Linked DNA regions of Drosophila melanogaster. The gene in region 1 interacts genetically with each later gene. Each region holds a gene or a part of one and is shown on either strand. Other genes may lie near its edges.

What was found.
Region 2: of PlexA (region 1) and Mical, changing one suppresses a phenotype caused by changing the other (phenotypic suppression), as found in Drosophila melanogaster (one study listed by BioGRID).
Region 3: of PlexA (region 1) and trol, changing one enhances a phenotype caused by changing the other (phenotypic enhancement), as found in Drosophila melanogaster (one study listed by BioGRID).

Annotation. Positions count from the first base shown.
Region 1 is NC_004353.4:1,022,880-1,029,567, forward strand, and holds the start of PlexA (plexin A), read right to left. Parts: upstream 4,223-6,688; 5' UTR 4,084-4,222; exon of another isoform or gene 3,891-4,083; intron 3,657-3,890; exon of another isoform or gene 3,337-3,656; intron 802-3,336; 5' UTR 593-801; coding exon 1-592. Other genes in the region: mitochondrial inner membrane protein MPV17, read right to left, coding at 5,864-6,370.
Region 2 is NT_033777.3:10,038,100-10,044,766, forward strand, and holds the start of Mical (molecule interacting with CasL), read right to left. Parts: upstream 4,797-6,667; 5' UTR 4,693-4,796; intron 3,900-4,692; exon of another isoform or gene 3,873-3,899; intron 1-3,872. Other genes in the region: CG3909 (uncharacterized protein), read left to right, coding at 5,248-5,250, 5,304-5,595, 5,667-5,905, 5,963-6,150, 6,205-6,478; CG11722 (uncharacterized protein), read right to left, coding at 6,528-6,655. UniProt on the Drosophila melanogaster protein: Monooxygenase that promotes depolymerization of F-actin by mediating oxidation of specific methionine residues on actin.
Region 3 is NC_004354.4:2,541,236-2,547,629, forward strand, and holds the start of trol (terribly reduced optic lobes), read right to left. Parts: upstream 4,193-6,394; 5' UTR 4,148-4,192; intron 3,674-4,147; exon of another isoform or gene 3,528-3,673; 5' UTR 3,389-3,527; coding exon 3,230-3,388; intron 1-3,229.

The DNA.
Region 1 (6,688 bases):
GTGGAGGTCCCGGCGCAATAAATGCTACGGTTGAGGAGTTGGCATCATTAGCCACAACAGCATCAGGAACTTCATGCTCAATTATGCTGACATTTTGAAGATTACGAACTGTGCATGTACCTTGAAATAGTGATCCACACGCAATAAGTCTTGAAGTTGCACGATCAATGAGCAAGACCTTATTATAATTGTCCGTCGGACTGCGAACTGCATTTAATGGACAATCAAGAATGCTACACTCGACGGAATCATTTTGAGGCCCCGTTTTCACAGTTTCGGAAAGCTCCAAATCAGGCGACAACTGATACAACCTGTTAACACCACCAACGAAGACTCGTCCAGTAATGGTGTCCACTAATAGGTGATTCAATTTGGTGTCAAACGCAGCTACATTTGTAATCGTAGAATTCAGATTCTTTGCATTCTTTATCGGTGCATTTGCATTAGTCAAATTTATCGGCTCATTTTGCGCAGTCGTCTTGTCAGACCATATATTTGCTGCCAGGGTTTGACAACCTGTCCTCGATGGCAGCCAGTAATCATACTTATCTTTAAGAATTGCTATTAACAACACACTAAGAACAAAATTCATCTCCACAATCGCTCCTTAAACAGGACTATCAAAGCTACCTTATTTATGAAATTGTTACTTGTAGGCGCTTGTATGTCCCTTATTTATTTGAAATTTTACGTAAATATTAAAATTTCCTTTGCGTTGGTGTCATTCTTGCAATTTTTATTATCCGTTCCATTCAAGATAATTTAACTTGGAGCAATAACTTGTATGACCATCATGTAAACCTGAAAAAACAATAAGGAAAGTAGTTATATATATATATATATATATATATATATATATATATACCCGTTACTCGTAGAGTAAAGGGTATACTAGATTCGTTGATAATTATTTAACTGGCAGAAGTAGGCGTTTCCGACCATATAAAGAAAATATATTCTTGATCAGGATCAATAGCCGAGTCGATCTGGCCATGTACGAATGAACGCAAGGTTAAACTTCGCTAAAACCTACAGAAACTGTCCAGTCTCCAAATGGCTTAATATCCTTTGGACTGATGAGTCAAAAATATGAACTGGAACTGGTTCACGACAGTATGTCCAACGACCTCCAAAGACCGAGTACAACCCAAGCCACACACTCAAGAATGTTAAGCACGGTGGACATAAATATGGTATGGGCCTGTTTTTCATACAACGGTGTGGGTCCCATACATATGATTAATGGTATGTAAATATACCTAGTGATGTTTTACTGCCATATGCTGAATGGAATATGCCCTTATAATGGACATTCCAATAGGATAATGATCCGAAACGCAGAAGCAAATCGGCTAAGAATAAGTTCACCCAAAATAGAATAGATGCAATGCCGTGGCAAGCACCATCATCCGATTTAAACCCGATTGAAAACCTGTGGGGGGACATTAAACAATACGTGTCGAAGAATTCCCCGATGTCCAAGATTCAGCTTTGGCAAGTTGTGCAGGATGCATGGGCAAAAATTCCCCCAAACGTCCTCGTGGACTCCATGCCGAGTAGGTGTAAGGCTGTGCTGGCTAAAAAAGGCAATCCAACCAGGTATTAGTCCCTAATTAACACATTAAAAAAAAACTATGTTAGTTCTAAGTCATGTTGTTACTATTTTTTCATATCACTGCTATTTCAGTGAACACCAGAATTTCTGCCTATTATGTTGTTTTAATCTATATCTATTGAAAAAATAAAAGTGAAACATATGTTGAATTGTTTGATATAATAATAAAATTATGAAAAAAATTCCCATTACAACTTTAAATCATATGATTTTTTATCCTAAACTCGCAAGTCCCAAGCACTGCTATTTTTATGAACACAGCTGTATATATCAGCTAAAAGGTTGAGATTCAGCATACAGATTCTAAAGACAAATACGGAGCGAAAGTTTGTTAACCTATGTTGCCACGCCCACTCTAACGCCCTAAAACCGCGCAAAACTGCCACGCTCACATTTTAAAACAAATTTTAAATTTTTTCTCATTTTATTCCTTAATATTGATATCCCAGAAAAATAAAGCAATTTCGCGTTCGCATTCACACTAGCTGAGTTACGGGTATCTGAGTCGGGGAACTCGACTATAGTATTCTTTCGAATTCTATTTGTGTGGATCACCAAACATTGAAATGCTGTTACATATAGATTATAAATGTATTTCGTGAACACCCAATAAATCGTAATTTTGAAAATCTTCACAGCCAAAAAAACTCAGTTTAAAAATTTAATCACGTCAAAACAAAAACTGTGGGTTGGCTGTAAGTGTACTTCCCTGAAACATGGGTAGTTTATCGCATAGTTTAAAATGATGTCGTACAAATAGTTTTGAAACTACAGTTAAGGTTAAAATAATAGCACTACTGCAGGTGGAAAATTGATATCCTAAAAAAAATTATAAATTTTTTTTTTTTTAAGCCAGATTGCATGAATAATAAGTACCATATGTTGCCTCTTTGAGCAATAAATTTTTAGTCTCTCAATTTAACGGTTCTTTTTGTTTTTGGGCACTTGCTGCAAAAGTGCGCGAAATGAGGCGGTAACAAAAATAGCACTGAAAACGTATTTGCTGAATAAAATTAATGGGAGTGATTGCTTTGGTTTTTTTTACGACAAATTTTGAAAAAAAGGTGTTGCATTAAAGGTTTTAATTGAATTTGCTCCAAACGAAGACCAAAAATTCTCTAGTCATGGGTCACGGAAAGCATTGTACCGTCGAAAAAAGAAATTTGATTAAAAACGTGATCTCTGAAGGTAAAACCTACGCTGAAATTGGTCGCATTGTCGGTTGTTCAAACAAAATGATCCGCAAATCACTGCTGTTTGTCGAAAAGAACGAAACGCGGCGAGGAAAGCCTTCAATGTCCAACTTGGATGCTCTCCAAGCATCCAAGCGCTTGGTTCGGCAAAGCAAGAACCCGGTGACGGAACTGAAGATGGAGCTTCAGATATACTGGCTCAACTCCTTAATATGAAAATCTCACCCAAAGCATAATTCATGAACCAACGTGCTCTACCATTTACTGTCTCCGAATAGGACTATAACCGACCAAAATATATTCCGCTACTGCCGCTAATATGTTGACCGCAACTGTACATATATATTAAACATGAATCCATATCATGCTATAAATATTAATGGAATGGAAATCCCAAGCTAAGGAGTTTCCTATGTATGCTATATAAGCATATCTCGTTTTTGCAATAAAAAATTTCCTCTACCTAACACATTAATTGTAAAACTTTGAACAAATTCAGTTCCAAACGTTCAATTTTTTTCCACTTACATATATTCGCACTCAGGCCACTTATTCCAAGCCATTTCGTTATAGAGAATTTATGTAGTTTTAAAGTATATTCACGGCTATTCCAGGATTTCAAATTTGGGCGAGCGTGCACAATATTTGGTAATTTCATTGCAAATGCATATATGCATACTGCACATACATACATACAAATTTGGCCAGCGCCCGAATTTAAATACATATAATAAACCGGTAAAATGTAAGTGCACTTAGTTTAAATGTTTTTAGGCAAAGATTATTGAGAGAAGTAAAACTCGATCTTTTGCATTTGGAATTTTTGGGATATTCTGGTGCACACACATCTATACAAAATGTATATATTTATATGCATACACATGCACATCATATACAGCAAATTTTATTTTGCTGCTATCTTTCCCAATGCATGATGCATTTAATTTCGTATGTGTGAAACGCAGCTAACAATGTATTTAAATAAGAGCCACACTTTTTAAAAATACTATTTACATAAATATAATATATACTTAAGTACATAAAACAAAATGATTGCATGGCCGTTTTTAATTTTTACATACATACAACGTTGTATACCAGTTAAAGAAAATTTGTATTTTCTTAATAATTCTAAAGCAATGCAATATACACTGGAACGTTAAATGATTTTATTACACTTTTTTTAATATTTAGCAAAAAATGACAATTTTGTATGTATATCTGAATTATGGAACGGCGATAGTTTTCTAGTGAACAATCGGAAATCCGGCTTACTGTTTGTTTTCCTATATTTCACTCATTAACTATTATTTCTTTACATCGCAAGTCACTGAACATAATTTCTGTCTATTTTCGAATTACACCACACTTTAATTTACACATCATTGTATGTAAATGTTATCGATACTATAAGGCAGAGGAGAGAATTAAACAACTAGTTGTTAGTCCTAAGACCCGTTCATACCTATCACTATCGATACCTAAATTAACCGATGGCACACTTCAAAATGTAATGTTCACGAGTACATGGAAAATGTCTTGTTGTTACTGTGTAATGACTCGTACGAAAGTAATTTGGAAGGGGTTTGATTCCCAAGCCAGATAATATTTATTATCTCTCTAATTTCCTTGAGCATTATTAAAAAATGAAATAAATATATTTAATATATTCGTTTTCTTTAATATCGATAGTGTGATGAGACTATAAAGGTCTGTTCACAATGAAAATGTAAATTGAAAAATTGGACTTAAGAATTTCATGCTAACAGCTCCTCAATCCACAGCAAATATGTGCGCAAACTGTATCAAAGCATAATTTTGTTATTTAAAATTTCATGGCACAACTTTTTTTTGTTGGCCTTTGTGCACATTTTATGACCTATTGAAATATCTTCAACTGACACCGACTGCAGATGTGCATATTTACACATCTGATTTAAAGCATTGTTGTTATGACCATGTAGTTAGAGACTTAGTTAGTTAGTAAGAAAAAAAAATAATCAATAATTTCACTGTTTTGAGGGCTGATTAGCAATAGAGATTTTTTCTAAGAAATGACATATAGATAAAAGTTAAATGAATTGAATTGCAGGGTGTTTATTTGCACATGTACACATGAAGTGTATTCCACTATTGGCTGCTTACATTCTCAGCTTCGTGCGTGCGCAGTTTGCGGTATTTTTGGCGCTACTAAGGTAAATTCTATCCATAAATCGTCTATCTCACGTTAAACAACAGGATATCAACAACTTGTGGGAAACTGTCAGAAGATACCGTTGACGCACTTTTCAAAAGTTTATTCCCCTAAATCGTAAAATAGAAATGTAGAAAGGAACAAACTTATGGAGAATTGATATTTTCGGAACTATGAACTCTAGAGAGCTCAGAGCATGTAGATTCAAGTGACGCCACATTTTTCAAGATTGTTGCAGAACGTTTGTTGTTTAACCCTACCTCCCACAATCTGCCTTAAAATGTCAGAAATAAAAGGTTTACCCGTTATTCAGATAGTGGGAACAGTGGGCGTGGCTAAAATACGTTTGGCAAATCGATAGAAACAGCCAAGAGAATTTATAAAATAAAATCGAAAAATAATTCTTAAGAGTGGGCATAACAGTTTGGGTGTGGCAAAATTTTTGTGGTATGTCAATATCATGACAGATAATTAAATGAAAACAAAATAACAACACAACGCCCACAGAAATTGTGGGCGTTAGATTGGGCGTGACGTCGTTATGATACAATCTTGCTTATCCAATTCAAATTTAAATGATCGAGTAAATATTTTGAGAAGCACATGCCCAACCGACTAATAACGGAGGGAAATAAGATTTCAAGCAAAATTTTTTGAAGTGCTTTGTAGGATTAAAACTCGAGTGCCTATAATACATGTATACTATAAATTCCATTCTATATGTACAGCCTTTCCGCCGAATACCCCTAAAAAAACGACAACCAAATCCAGTCCGAAGTCACATGTCGAGATAAGGATAATAATGTATTTGTTAAATTTGATACACAGGCACCGTATTACTTATGCGGGGAACTTAGTGCCCTAGCTATTAAGTATCATGGAGAGGTAGCAGTTCCATACGAGGGCGATGAACTGGGCGTAGAGCACCTGGTAGCCCAGCGGCACGAATCTGAAGTTTAGCATCTGTGCGGCCGGCCAGAGCATATAGTTGCGGACCAATATAGATAGGTAGCTATCAAGAATGCGCTGCCGGATTCGGTCGATGGGCTCTCCGTTGGAGAGTGGCACCAAAAAAGACATGGCCATGGTAAAGGGTGGCGCAAAAAGGGTCTGGTCGACCAGCATTTTGGTAACGCCCCGCCGCATTGGCGAGTAGGTTTTGGGAACCCGGGACTCCAAAAAATGGTACCACCGGCGCAAAGTTGGGCCAACGAACACCAGTCCAACGATGCCGAAACGGAGGGTTCGCCCCGCATCCCATTCGTCCAACGATTTCTTATCAAAAAAGAACTGGGATATAGTATCGCCCAGACACATTACCGCCGCCACATTGATGCCATCCTTTAGGTACGCTTTAAGTCTCTTCATCCTTATCAGAGATCAGTTCCATTCATAGCCCGATCCAAATTGTTTTAAATACGCAATTAAAACACAACTGAGAAATCGATTTGCTGTTGTTCGTGTAGTTTTAAAGGGTTGCCTAATAATCGCAAAGTGATTGGTGTCAATTGCTGAAGTGACAAAAATTGGCAACTCTGAATAATTATTTAAATTAAATTATGCTAGCGTATTCAACTTTTTAACGCGCGTGAGTCCTTTTAATTGTTACATGCCGAATGAGAAAACGTTAAATTGCGTTCAATATGCAATTTAATGTAATGTAATGTAAAATAACTTAAACGTTTT
Region 2 (6,667 bases), on another chromosome or scaffold:
GATCTCGGCAATGGCCAAAATACGTCATCTTTCGATGCCTGACTCTTTTAAATAATTAAGGAGACTGACTCATGTGGTTCTCTACCACCTATATATTACTTAAAAGGTGCACAAATAAATATACCCAAATTTATCTGTAAACAACGAGAAGTTCACAGAACATTGGTGCTTTTATTTTAGACGGTGGCACATCCGGGCGAAATGTCGAATTTCTGAGAGTGCCACTGACATGAGGCTCCATTTAGAAATATCTGTTTATATTATGTTCATTGGCCAATTCCACGACCTTCAGATGCGATCAAACATTGTCGCCTGTCAGCACTTTGAATTTTCATTGAAAATTGTATTGTTCACTGCCATTAATTGGCCTTCGCTTTGACTCCGGGGGAATCGAGCATGCAAATGCAATTTGTTTGGATGATTTCAATTGAGAGACGGGAAACCAGTGCAATGGGGTGTTTGCATGGCGATTCAAATCAATAAATCGCGAATGGTGTTTAGTCAATAAACCACTTGCAGTTTTCCCAAGAAAAATAGAAACACAAAAGTTGATTACATAAAGCACTAATGGTAAACTTCAACTTTATACCATAGCGTATTTTGAGATATGAATTACTTTAACTTGCATCTGGTTTCAACTTGCTATTAAGTACTAAAGATAACATTGAATTAGGACACGAAATTCGAAGAACTCGTGGATATAAAACACCCCCACGGAGTTATATTACTCGGGATAATCCCCAATGCTTGCCCCATTCCCAGTTAGGTTTCTTTGAAAATTGAAAACTTCTAGTTCGGAAATGAAGTGCAGTTTTGTAAACAAATGTAGGTGCTTCTAACAAACCCCTATGTATATATGTATGAAAACATATAGCGAAGGTAGGTGAGCCGTGCTAGAAGCTGTCGAAGCGTAAAAACTTAATCATATTAAGAGCTCGCAAACCGGCTCCTAAACTAAACTTGGTCTAGAAGGCAGAAGGGCCGATTAAACGATAGATGGATAGATGACTGAAGCTAAGCGAACGGGTGAGTGGCTGAGTGAATAAACCGAGTGGCTAAATGAGCAAAGTTAATGCCTCACTGGCTGTAAAACTGGAAAATCGAGGCTCAAATTAAAAACCCAAACACACCGGCACAAAGGCGGGCGTAACAAAAGTAGCATGTTGTATGTGCTTAGTTGTCTCAACTGAATTATAGACAAGAGCAGAATCTTATTCACCGGATCAGCGAACTTTTGCAATGGAAAAATGCACAAATAACAAAGCGAAAAACAACAGCCATCGCAACAAAGGAGCTCATTCACTTGGGTCATGGTCATCACGGCGATGACGGCGATGTCTGTCGCGTTTTTAATTAATAAAGAAACTCCTGTCACCTCTAAAGTGAAATAAAATGAAAATAAAAAAGAGACGGAGCGAAAGAAAAGCTCAGACAACAAAAAGCATGAAATTGAAAACGAACAGTGTGTATTTGATGTATTTTTGATAAATTGTGAAAGTGCCCGGCCCAGACGACAGCTAATTGACGCCCCAAAACTCCCCAACAAACCCATTTTTCCCGACCGAATGGCATATGTTATTAAAGTGGCGATAAAAATGCGATAAATAGCACACAAAAGCCTATCATGTGAAAGGCCAACAAAAACCCAAATGGCATATGCCAAAAAGAAAAAAGAAATCACATTGGCGATGAAAAACTTAACTCTGTCGCTTTTCAACTTGAAGAAAAAACTTCAAATACATAGAAGTACGAGTGTAAAAGATACTTGTCCTTGACCGTAAGTTTATCTAATTCGGCTGATATTTTATCACTGTCACAACGCAAAACATTGAACGATATCAATTTCCCATTTATGGGTTAATTGGGGGAAGAAAGGCAGATACGGGGATTCTACTCGAGTCGGGTTTGGAGCAATGTTTAATGGCTTTTCAAGTGCTTCTCAAAATGAGGAACCGAAGACCCTGCCTTCCACTTGCAGTTGCAAACGCATTGCGGTCATAAAGAGTGCACTTTATGGCATTCCACAAACAAAAGTCAAAGGTTTAAGGGGGCACAAAAATGGGAGTGTTTTACAGGAGTGACAGCAGTTAAAATATGTGAAAGTAATCTATACTTTCTAATTGGAACTATTCCTTACTTTAAGTTCATGATAGATTGGCTAATTGCAGAATATTTAAATAAATTTAGCACACAGATACATATTATTTATATTTTTCTGATCCCACATATTTAGTAAAAGGGGGAAAAAAAAAAACAACAAAAACGAGGCCCCAATTAGGGCCCAAATTAGGTGTTTTTCTCGAGGCTGAGGCTTAAAATAACATTCCAACCTTCGAAAGTGATAAAAGAGCCCAGCGTTGATTATTATAAATAGCAATGCTCCACCTATTATCTTATCTCTGGATTTAAATACACTTTTGGCCATGCCAAAGATCGGACCAGAAATATTTATTCAGTCAAGCAAAAAGTTTGGCTCTTCCACTGGAATCCAAATGGTGAGTACTTTCCCATTGTTCTTGTGCTTTTGCCAGTGCAATGTCATGACTTGACGCCATCACATTTTCATTTTCTGGGCTGCCTTGATTGGTGTAAAGAAAATTGCACCGACATCAGAACGCGATCTTAAAAGTCAATGCTCCTATATATTGCTCTTGTGACTGGGGGGTTCAACGAATGGCGATTATTCCAGCTATATTCTTATCAGAGGATGTTCGTGATTGCGACTCTCTTGGTAATTTCCATAGAGTTCAACCCGTACAATGGGTTTACAAATAGCACTATATATCATTTTATTCTTATTTTATCTTCATGTACTAAGCACTGTATATAATCTCAAAACAATCATTTGATTATCTACTTTGATAGATATTTCATGTAATTTACTGAATTTCTTTAAAATAATGTCATGGCTAATATGTCAAATCTTTTCGCTTACTTGACAATAATGTTCCCTGCTTTCTTGTTTGACTTTCTTTTGTTTTTGGAAAACTTCGGCACTTGTCATTGTCGGCTGCTGCCACGCCCTCCGTCACGCCCCTTACAATGATGTCACATTGCACAGACTCAAATTGCTCCAATTTCGCCCCCATTGCTTTTGACTATGTCACGCTTTTCCCAGCGAGCGCTTTTCCACACTTGACTTCGCATTTCCCCGCGATCTTGGAACCGCGGTATTCCCACCTCAACTAATAACTTTGTTGGTTTTCCATCCATTTTCCGAGTGCATTGCGCCTGGGCTTTGGCTTTTTCCGCAGTTTGCCACTGTTTCATTTTCTTTTTGCATGCCCTGGATTTCCATTTTGTCGTACTTGGTTTTTGCGCTGGTTTTTCTCGCCGATTGTGAAAAGTTGTGCACTAATGGCAGCTGTGAAATGCATTTATGTTTATGGTCTAGTTTTTCCATTCTTATTATTATTTTTTTTTTTTTTGACGCCTTTTGAGCACCTCTTAAGGGCAAACATTTATTCTTATCCTCCAGTCACATTAGTGCGAAGGCTAAGAGCAACCGTGATGGGTTTGCTTTGGAATTACGAATGGAAGTGGAGCAAAGCTGTGGGATTTAGAGTCATTTAACTTTACGGATCTTTAAGCGTCACTACTACTACCTAACTACCTTTCTTTCTATAGGACCATTTCATACCCTAGAAGACATCGTTTGCCTGTAGTATTGTTAAAATAAACGAATAACTAACTTTCATATACCAAATCTCAAGTAAAGAATGTTTTATGAAATGAATACACCTCTCTTAAGATATATGAATCCCAACATGTGTGAGAAAATTAACATAAAATACCGATAAGATTACATAAACATGCAAATCTTCCACTTCATCTTATAATATAGCATTATTGATCCCCGGCTGGCGACTCACCTTGATAATTTACAAATTCAGTTGGAACTGTTTGATTTATTCGAAAGGGTTTGCATATATCATTTTGAAAACGGCAAATTGCGATTATAATCGAAACAAAAGTGAGCAGAGGAAGAGAAGAAGAATAAGAGGAATGGCGATATTAGGGAGATAAAGTTGCACGCGAAAACCGGTTGCCGTTATTGTTTACACCAAATCGGAAACGAAGTTGTGGGGGCAGGCGCGAATATGAATGTTGTACGGAGGGGAAGAAGTGGAAACTGGGCGGAAAACGGAGAACGGGGAACGGGAAAGTGGGAATCAATAAAACAAACACACCACGAAAAACACATGGAAAGTGCAGCAAAACTATATGCCTTTCATTTCGGTTTAGTGCACAAATCGGCGAGTCCTGCTGCCACAAGAATGAATCATTCGAATCTTTTCGATTTTGTCGAAAGATATGATATGTGAGATAAATAATATGCTGATGCACAACCACACACACACTCGCACTCACGCTCACGCACACCCGCCCCCACACACACGAACGAACGAGGCTTCACTGTTTATGTTTATTAATATATTCCAGACACGCGGATCCATAGAAGAAAATCATACATATTCGAATTCACGGCGGCGACGACAGCAAAATGAAAAAAAATCGAAAACGAACCGAAAACTGAAAAGCAGAACACACGCGTTGGTCCTATTCGTTCCTTTGTTTTTGATATCGTATCGCGAGGGGCTAAGAACTATAACTATATCCGCATTATATAACCGCACTGGTAGATCCGGGCATGGCTGCACCGTGGGGCACGTAATTGCACCCGTCACTTACACTTTTCCTCGCCAGTCGCTTGGATCTCGCGTCCGAGTCGTTTGGGGATTTGTTTTTTAAAACGCGACGTTCGTTCCTCGGTTCTCGACGGCTATAAACAGTGTGGCCGCGCCGGGAGTGCAACTATAAGCCGATGGTGTGACCATGGCGGGAAAGTGGTATTATGCCGTGTGCCATATGGGCAAATATACCAAAACAATAAATAGCAATTCAAATAATTTAATATATAACATGTTTACTTAAAAACTAAGCTTTTTACCTAAATAAGTATAATAAAGATATAATAAAGTAAAATATTATTTTGTTATATATAATATTACCTGTGAAAAAATTTTAAAAACGTCAATTTGTTTTATACTTCTTTATTTCTTTCATTTATATAAAGAATTCCATGTTTAATTTATTCACATTGAAACATATTCAGCATAACAGTTTTGACCCACTGTAAACCTCCCTTTTCAATACTAATTCTAACGTCAACCATTGTTATCGATAACAGCTAATTTGCTGATCGCTCTCGTTCGCATAAAATAAACACTTTTCCGGCATTTTAAAATGGTAAGTAGATATTTAACGAACTGTGCCTTTTATACATCCCTTTTTTCCGCTAGTTTTCTGTCCTTCATAAAGAGGAAAATGCGCACGACAGTCAGCTATGGGCGTGCACCTGGGGACGCGACACTGCGGCCTCAGATCCGGATGACGCGGTCGTGGAGCCCGAGGAGAATCCCTTTGATTTCGATAAGAAGGAGGCCCGCCCGAAGGATTTCTTGGTCACCGGCGGACTGGATGACTTGGTAAAGGTGTGGGACTTGCAGGAGGACAACACCCTAAAGTTGCGCCACAAACTAAAAGGACATGCCCTGGGAGTTGTTTCTGTGGCCGTCAGTTCCGATGGACAGAGTAGGTTGAAAGATTCTGTACTTGGGAGATAGAGAAATGGACATCAATTAATGGTGCCGCCTTCCTTCCAGCCATTGCCAGTAGTTCTCTGGACTCCACCATGTGTTTGTGGGATGCCCGTTCGGGCGACAAGAAACACCTACTTAGCTTTGGGCCTGTTGATCTCTGGACGGTGCAATTTTCACCCTGCAACAAATATGTGATATCCGGACTGAACGACGGCAAAATCTCCATGTACAGTGTGGAAACCGGAAAGGCAGAGCAGACATTGGATGCCCAAAATGGGAAATACACGCTTAGCATTGCCTACGTAAGCTTTATCTGGTAAATAACCCATTTTGAGAATCCTATAGCTGTATTATTCTAGAGTCCCGATGGCAAGTACATTGCCAGTGGAGCCATCGATGGTATCATTACCATTTTCGATGTGGCCGCGGGCAAGGTAGTGCAAACATTGGAAGGACACGCGATGCCAGTGCGTAGCCTTTGCTTTTCTCCGAACTCGCAGCTGCTGCTCACTGCCTCAGATGATGGTCACATGAAGCTTTATGATGTGTAAGTGGCTTAACACCTATGACATTTTCAGGCACTACTATCTCCTCGTTTTAGAACCCACTCCGACGTTGTGGGCACCCTATCTGGGCACGCATCTTGGGTGCTGTGCGTGGCATTCTCCGAGGACGGCAAACACTTTGCCAGCTCCTCCAGTGATAACAGCGTGAAAATATGGGACACCTCGGAACGCAAGTGCCTGCACACGTTCGCCGAGCACACAGATCAGGTGTGGGGCGTCCGATATAGCCCCGGAAACGACAAGGTGGCCTCTGCTTCTGAGGACAAGTCCCTGAACATATACTACTGTCCGCCCAATGCCATTGTTTGATTTCATACAATAGAGCGTAGGTTTAAAACAAAGAACAAGAATGATTTATTTACGGATTACCCTCCGAGCTCGATTTAACCCGCAGAAGGGGCTGCGTGGCTTGAGTTAGCATCGTGTCTTTGTACTTCTGGTCGGGTATGTACATATTAAAAGTTTTAAAGTAGTGCAGTATGTTTTCTAAAAAGGGAA
Region 3 (6,394 bases), on another chromosome or scaffold:
TAGTTGGTTGGGGACTGCGAAGTGAGAAATGAAAAGTCAGGCTGAGAAATTGGTTTACCCTACACTTTGGAGTTATTTTTCAATGTTTAGTCTATGAGGCAAATACCTCAGCGGATCCCTGTTCGCATTTTTGTGGCGAAATATTCGAGGGTGGAATGAACTCTAAAGAACATCAGTTGGTGTATCAGGTGTATCACAACAGAATAGGTGTTGATTTTCAATTAGTAATCAATTCCACATGTGCAATAAAAAACACGTTCTAATTGCATTTCACAAGACAAGAAAATTCGGCTTATCTACGTGTTGCGATGCATCATTTTGTCGCGTTGCATTATAGGGTATTGGCCGATTTAGCCACTCCGAGTTCCCAACTTTAATGCTCCGCCTCGAATCGAAAACTTTCGTCTCTGGTATCTTGTCGCCATCTATTTTTAAATGCTTGCCTCATAGCCTTGCCTCTCCCCATTGACTCCCAGATTCCACCAGTTCTTTCCTTACAGAAATGCATACGTCAGCCAGGGAAAATAGATTCCGGATCCGCAGAAATGAATCGCCCGGTCTGGGCATCTAAGGATCCCTCCCGACCAGGTCAAATGCGGCTGCCCCAGTGACTAATGGCAATGGAAGCCTGGCATCTGGCAATGCCAATTTGACAAAGCCAACACTCGGCGATATCGCCAATCAGCGTTTCATATACAGTTCCACAAATAGGAAGGGAAAAGCGAGCCAGACACTTCACTCGCACCTCGCACCTCGCACATCTCGCATAAACAGTTTTAAGTGTGCCAGTTGTCTCTGCCCCCGCGGCCCCGCCTCCTTATCGAGTCCCCGCCCCTTGGTCAATGTCTGAACTTGAGCTCAAGTGGGTGAGGGGGGGTGTAGGGTTGGTGGGTTGGTGTATTAGACAGCCCCAGCGTAATATTTAAACAAATGCTCGCATGACGCTTCCCGTGAAACTGCATGTGATCGCTGTGCGAATGTTTTCGGTACACAGGAAAAGAGGTTGGGCTATATACAAATGTTACATATTTTACTTGCAAAAAAAAAAAAAAAAAAACATTTTATTCGGCAAGTGAAACTTGATTGAAGGTATTAGCTTATATTGAAATCAACTGATCCACGCCTTTTCAACTTAAAGGCCATTTCCCAGCGATTCAATAAGGCCAGCAGAATGAGGCAGATACACAAACAGCCAGGCAGCCAAGCAGCCGGTCACATGTGTGATCGGGGGTACAACATCTTGTGTCCATATGTTGCACAAACAAACAGAAACCGTGAAGCCACGGAAACAAGAAAACCAGAAAACCGAAAAACAAGGAGAACTGAAAACCGAAGGGAATGTGCCAACGAACGCATCTTCAGACCAATGAAAAACAAAGAAAACATAATCCGAAAAGCTGAAAAAGAAACCAAAACGATACGGGCGAGTCAAAAAAGCTGCGAAATGATATTTTCTCATCTGTTGGCTGCCGTTTTGTGCTTTAATTTTTTTTTTTTTTTTTTTCTTATTCGCTTTGCAGTTGTGTTGTTGATGATGCAAATATTTTGACAGTTTGTTTGACAGATATCGGGGCACACAACGGGGCGTGATGTGATGAGCGATATACAAGCCAAGGGCCAAGAAGGGTGGGGGGTGAGGGATCGGATACCCTTGGAAAGCCGGAAAAGGGCCATCGAATGAGGACCCATCTGTCGATGTAAACAGAGCAGCACAATTCGCTTGCCAGGCGAATATCAGTTTGAAGCATCAGAAGTTGCCATATGCAGTGAGTTGTACTTTGCGCTTCAGACTTTCAAGAAACACTATGGAATCAGTGGCGAGTTGCACAGTTTGCCAAAAAGAAAGGAATGGTGACATAACGTATGGTGTTTAAACTGATTATTGATAGCTAGCATATGTGCTTTTCAGTCAAGTTCAGCTATCAATTTAAAAACGAATAAAACCCAAGATAAACGATATCGAATGCCCCAAGGGGCACCGTGCCACCTGATCGTATGCGCAATGTCCGATGACCGGCAATACGCATACGCCGGATGGGCAAAAGCGGAGGATGGAGCTATCGTGCTGCAGCAGTGACCTCGTTTGCAGTCCGATTTGCAGTGGTTCCTTCTTCAAAGTGTGGCTCCCATTCCCGTCCCACTCCCAGTCCCAGTCCCACCGATAAGCCCTGAGCAGGCGACATAGCCCCCGTATGTATGTATGTGTACATGTGTTCGAATTTGGCCTCATTTACGCAACTTCCGATGTGATAAAAAGTGTGAGCGCTGCAGCAAAACAAATCGAATGGAAACGACATGCTCGACAAAATCAAGCAGAGTACCAGAATTGTCCAGCAGGTACTGCCGTCCGTTCACAAAAGCCATTGAAACATTCACAAACGTTCAGTGATTTTAAATGTTAATTAAAGAAATTATTTCATTGCAAGCAAATGTCTGTGGGCAACATGTCATTAACACGCTGATAACGCGCTATCATCAAAGCTCATTATGGTGGAAAACATACACACACACACTCGCACACACACACACAGCGACCCCTCCCTCCTTCAGGCACAAAGATAGAATTTGGAACTGAAACAATCGACTTCTCATAATAATTGGCAAAGCCATCCGAACACAATCGCATCAAATTCAAAAGCCAGCATCTGAACTCGATCCGAATTTGTGAAAAGAAATTAATTCAGCGTCTGTTTTTTCGAGAGAGTGATAACCTGCGATGATGACCCCGGCCCAATGGACTTGGTGATCTATTTTTTTGGCCTCTGCTCAACTCGAAATCCGGTCCTTAACATTGTCCGTAACCGAGCTCCGAAACCCTGAAGCCTCGAAGCCCGGCTCAACTTCCTAATTTGATGGCGAGTGGAGGAAAACTATTTTCCAAACCACTTACAATAAATACATTTTTATGCTAATCACTGGTGGCGCTCGTTTTGTGTCTGTCTGTCCCGCCTATTGGGAAAAAAAAACAATACTCGTATGTGTGTCATGCTAAATAGTTCAAGTTCGTCGCGGAACCCAGAGTTGTGTCATCCGGAATAAGAGATCATTGGGTTACCGATCTCGAATGGGATGTGCATCAGCTGATGGGCAATGGTCATGTGAATGGTAAGCGGCTGTTAGGATCATGTCACCGAATAGAACTAATCAAATTGTTAACTGCATTCCTGGGCCTCAAATAGCAATGTAATAATTATAATACTACATATCCCAACAAGAGGGTCGAACTCACCTTGGCATTGGTCAGCAGCGGTGCGTGGCAGGCGGCGAGGACGAAGGTCACGGCAAGGAGGCGCAGGAGCAACGATCCTCCCGCTTGACCTCTCCGCCCGCTTCTGATTCCGACCGAGGTCGCGATCGCGGACGCTTGGGATCCCGGCGATCCCATCATCTCTTTTCCGGGTAACGGCGGTTTTGGTTTCTTTTGGCAGCTATTTAGGTTTGGCTTAGGTACTTTGTGAAGGCAGTTTCGGTTCGTTTTGTTTAGTTTGGCTTTAAACGGCTGGCAGGTTGTGGTTACGGCTATGGCACTGCACGGAGAAAAAAAGCCCCAGACATTAATTCGCAATTGAGCAACAATTAAGCGTTAGACAGAGACAGAGATAGAGAGCATCCTGATATTATGTTTCTGGGGATTTTTTTCTCCGCGCACGGAAAAAGGGGAAGCAAATCGGTGATTTGACATCAGCAAAATTTTTTGGCTTTGGTGAAACCAAATCCGAATTAAAAACCAGAGAAACCGTCATGTTTCAGAAGTTTCTTCGAAAAATCCGAATGATCCCCTTTGATCATCTGTTCGCTCCTGGACGAGCCGATATTTGTTTCCCCTCTTTCTGTTCGCTTTTCCGCCTTTTCGCTTTATTTTCTTGTTTCATTCCTTATTCTTTAGTTTCGTTTCACACGCGATGGACACTATTCGTATTCGTTGCGAGTATGGGTTCCTTTTTGGGATCACACTAGTTAATGAATGAAAAAAAAGGAGCAGGGCTTGGGTTTTTGTTTAAACGTTGAACCGATATCACCAGGATATCTTGTCGGGGATTTTCAAAATTTCGGCACTTCGAGGATGTGAGAGCACTCAAAAAAAAAAAAAGACAAACGCTCCCCACAAGAGAGTCAGAGTCACACAGAAAACAAAGGGACAGCACACCGTGGAATGTGCGACCGCCTGGAACGATGGCGCGCAACCTAATGTCTAAGAACCGTTGCTGCGATTCCCATCGCTGCCTCTGCTCTGCCGGCGTCGCCCGAAGACGCACGAAGGCCGAAAGCGCGACGGAGCCGAAGCGATTTGCGTGCTCTTGTTATTGTTTAACGGCGCTTAATGGCCATTGCAAGCCTGTTGCGTCGATGCACCGCACTCTCTCTCTCCCTTACCCTCTCCCTCTATCCCTCTCTCGCTCACATGCGTGGGTGTCCGCTTACGCAGAGTTAGCTGCGCCTGCTCTCTCTCCTCTCGCTCTGCCTGTCCATCCTTATTTGCGGAGCGTAGTCGCGATTTAGCCAGTCGGCTAAAGCAGCATTTAAGGCCGTAACGATAGAAAAAAAAAAGTAACTATCACTTTAGTTGGATAGTAAGCCCCCCCTCCCCCATTTTTTTTTACTCAACACCCGCCCAAGTGGCTCTCGCTCTCTGGGTCAACTGATAAACAAGTGAAAACCGTTGCTCCTTGCTCTCTTTTCACCTTTCGTTGTTGCTGCGGCAGCCGGTTTGCAAATTATCCCACTCACTCCCACGAAAAGCGGCGCTCTCCTCGCACATTTTTTTATTGAAGTTCTTTGAATTTGACACTCAAAAAAAAAGGAGAGTCCAATAAAATGCTGATGCAATTCGCGTAGGAAAGCCAAACACCAGTGAAAACGTATTTGAAACACGAACTTTATAGCCTTTACTCGCTGTTCCTACGAATATTAGTGTTTATGGACAATTAATTCTTGGCGCACCTAAAACATACATACAACCATGTGAGCAAATCATCTTAAATGTGCAGTCATCGGTCTAAAATTGATGCAAAGCACTATTTTAAATATTCAACACAATACAAGTTTGGCAGGACGGACATCCATGTGATATTAGCATTTCGGGCTCGTCGGCTTTGGCGGTTAAGTCGGTTTGTCAACTGGCCATAGGACCGGCCACAATCCGTGACCTTCAGCCGATTTAGCCACCACCCCCCCCCCCCCTGTCAACACCACCAAAAAGGCGGCTTCCCATTGGCGCCTGACCCAATGACATCCGAAAATGACGCATGCGTGAGGGTGAATTACCGGACTTGGATGCCGACGCCCCACATGGAGGACCAATGGACACGTTGCGATTTTTTAGGGCCCCATCTCCTGGAATAATTGGCCCATTCCTCAGGTTCGTTTCCCTGTTCCTCCCCTTTTTCGCCTTTGCTAATGTAAAATATATTTAATATTTAAATGGTGAACGCTCACAAGTGGCCACAGCTTCCGTTCGCAGATAAGAAAAGGTACTAAAAATACACGCAGAAAATTGTTGAATACGCTATTGAAAATAATGGCAATGGTCTGTATACACTTGGAGAAATTAGCTAGATAGACACCAAATACACAAATACGTGCTTAATATTGAGCTTTGCCTAGGTGTTAAGTTTATAAATTAGTGATAAGATAACATTATAAATTTTAGTAAAATTGTGCACAAATTCATTTCAATGTTTTATTGGTCGCAGTGCGATTCTTGAACATATTTTCTTCAATTGAAAAGCAATGACATCTGTTCGACTTTCGTAGCACTTGTTTTTTCAACTGCTCAAATCATTTAATATTTAGACATGTGTGCACTCTCGAGCATTTCATTCAATTTAGGGAGTCAAATGTTATCACATCAAAATTGGAGCAAGTGCTGAAACAATTAGAATTATCAACCTAAGTCCGTAACCTATAAAGGTTATCAACGGTGAGAAAAACCAAAAAACAAAAAAAAAAAAAAAATATTTTTAATTTACCGAACTCACCACAGTCGTCGAGTGGTGAGTACACGATTCTGTTAGCCACATTTGCAATCGAAAGCTAGCTACAGTTTGAGAGCCATTGCACAAAAGCTTTTAGCCAAGTCAACAAAAAAGCTTTCCTAAAGCGTTTGCCACCAAAAGTATAAGTTTTTAACTGAATAAAATTCAATTATTAAAGAACAAGCTGTTTCAATTTAATCACACATTAAGAGTTTATGAAATAGGTGACTTACAGGATCTCATCTACTTGTCAAATTGGTTGTCAAATGTGGCCACACGGACAATCCAGAAAATGACATTTTTTTGAAGTGCTTAATAATAGATTTAAGGGTTATTTTCCATTTGTCCATATATCCTTTTGACAACAATGAAGATATCCCTGTCCCATTTACATTCCGCCCTCGTTTTTTGCACTCACT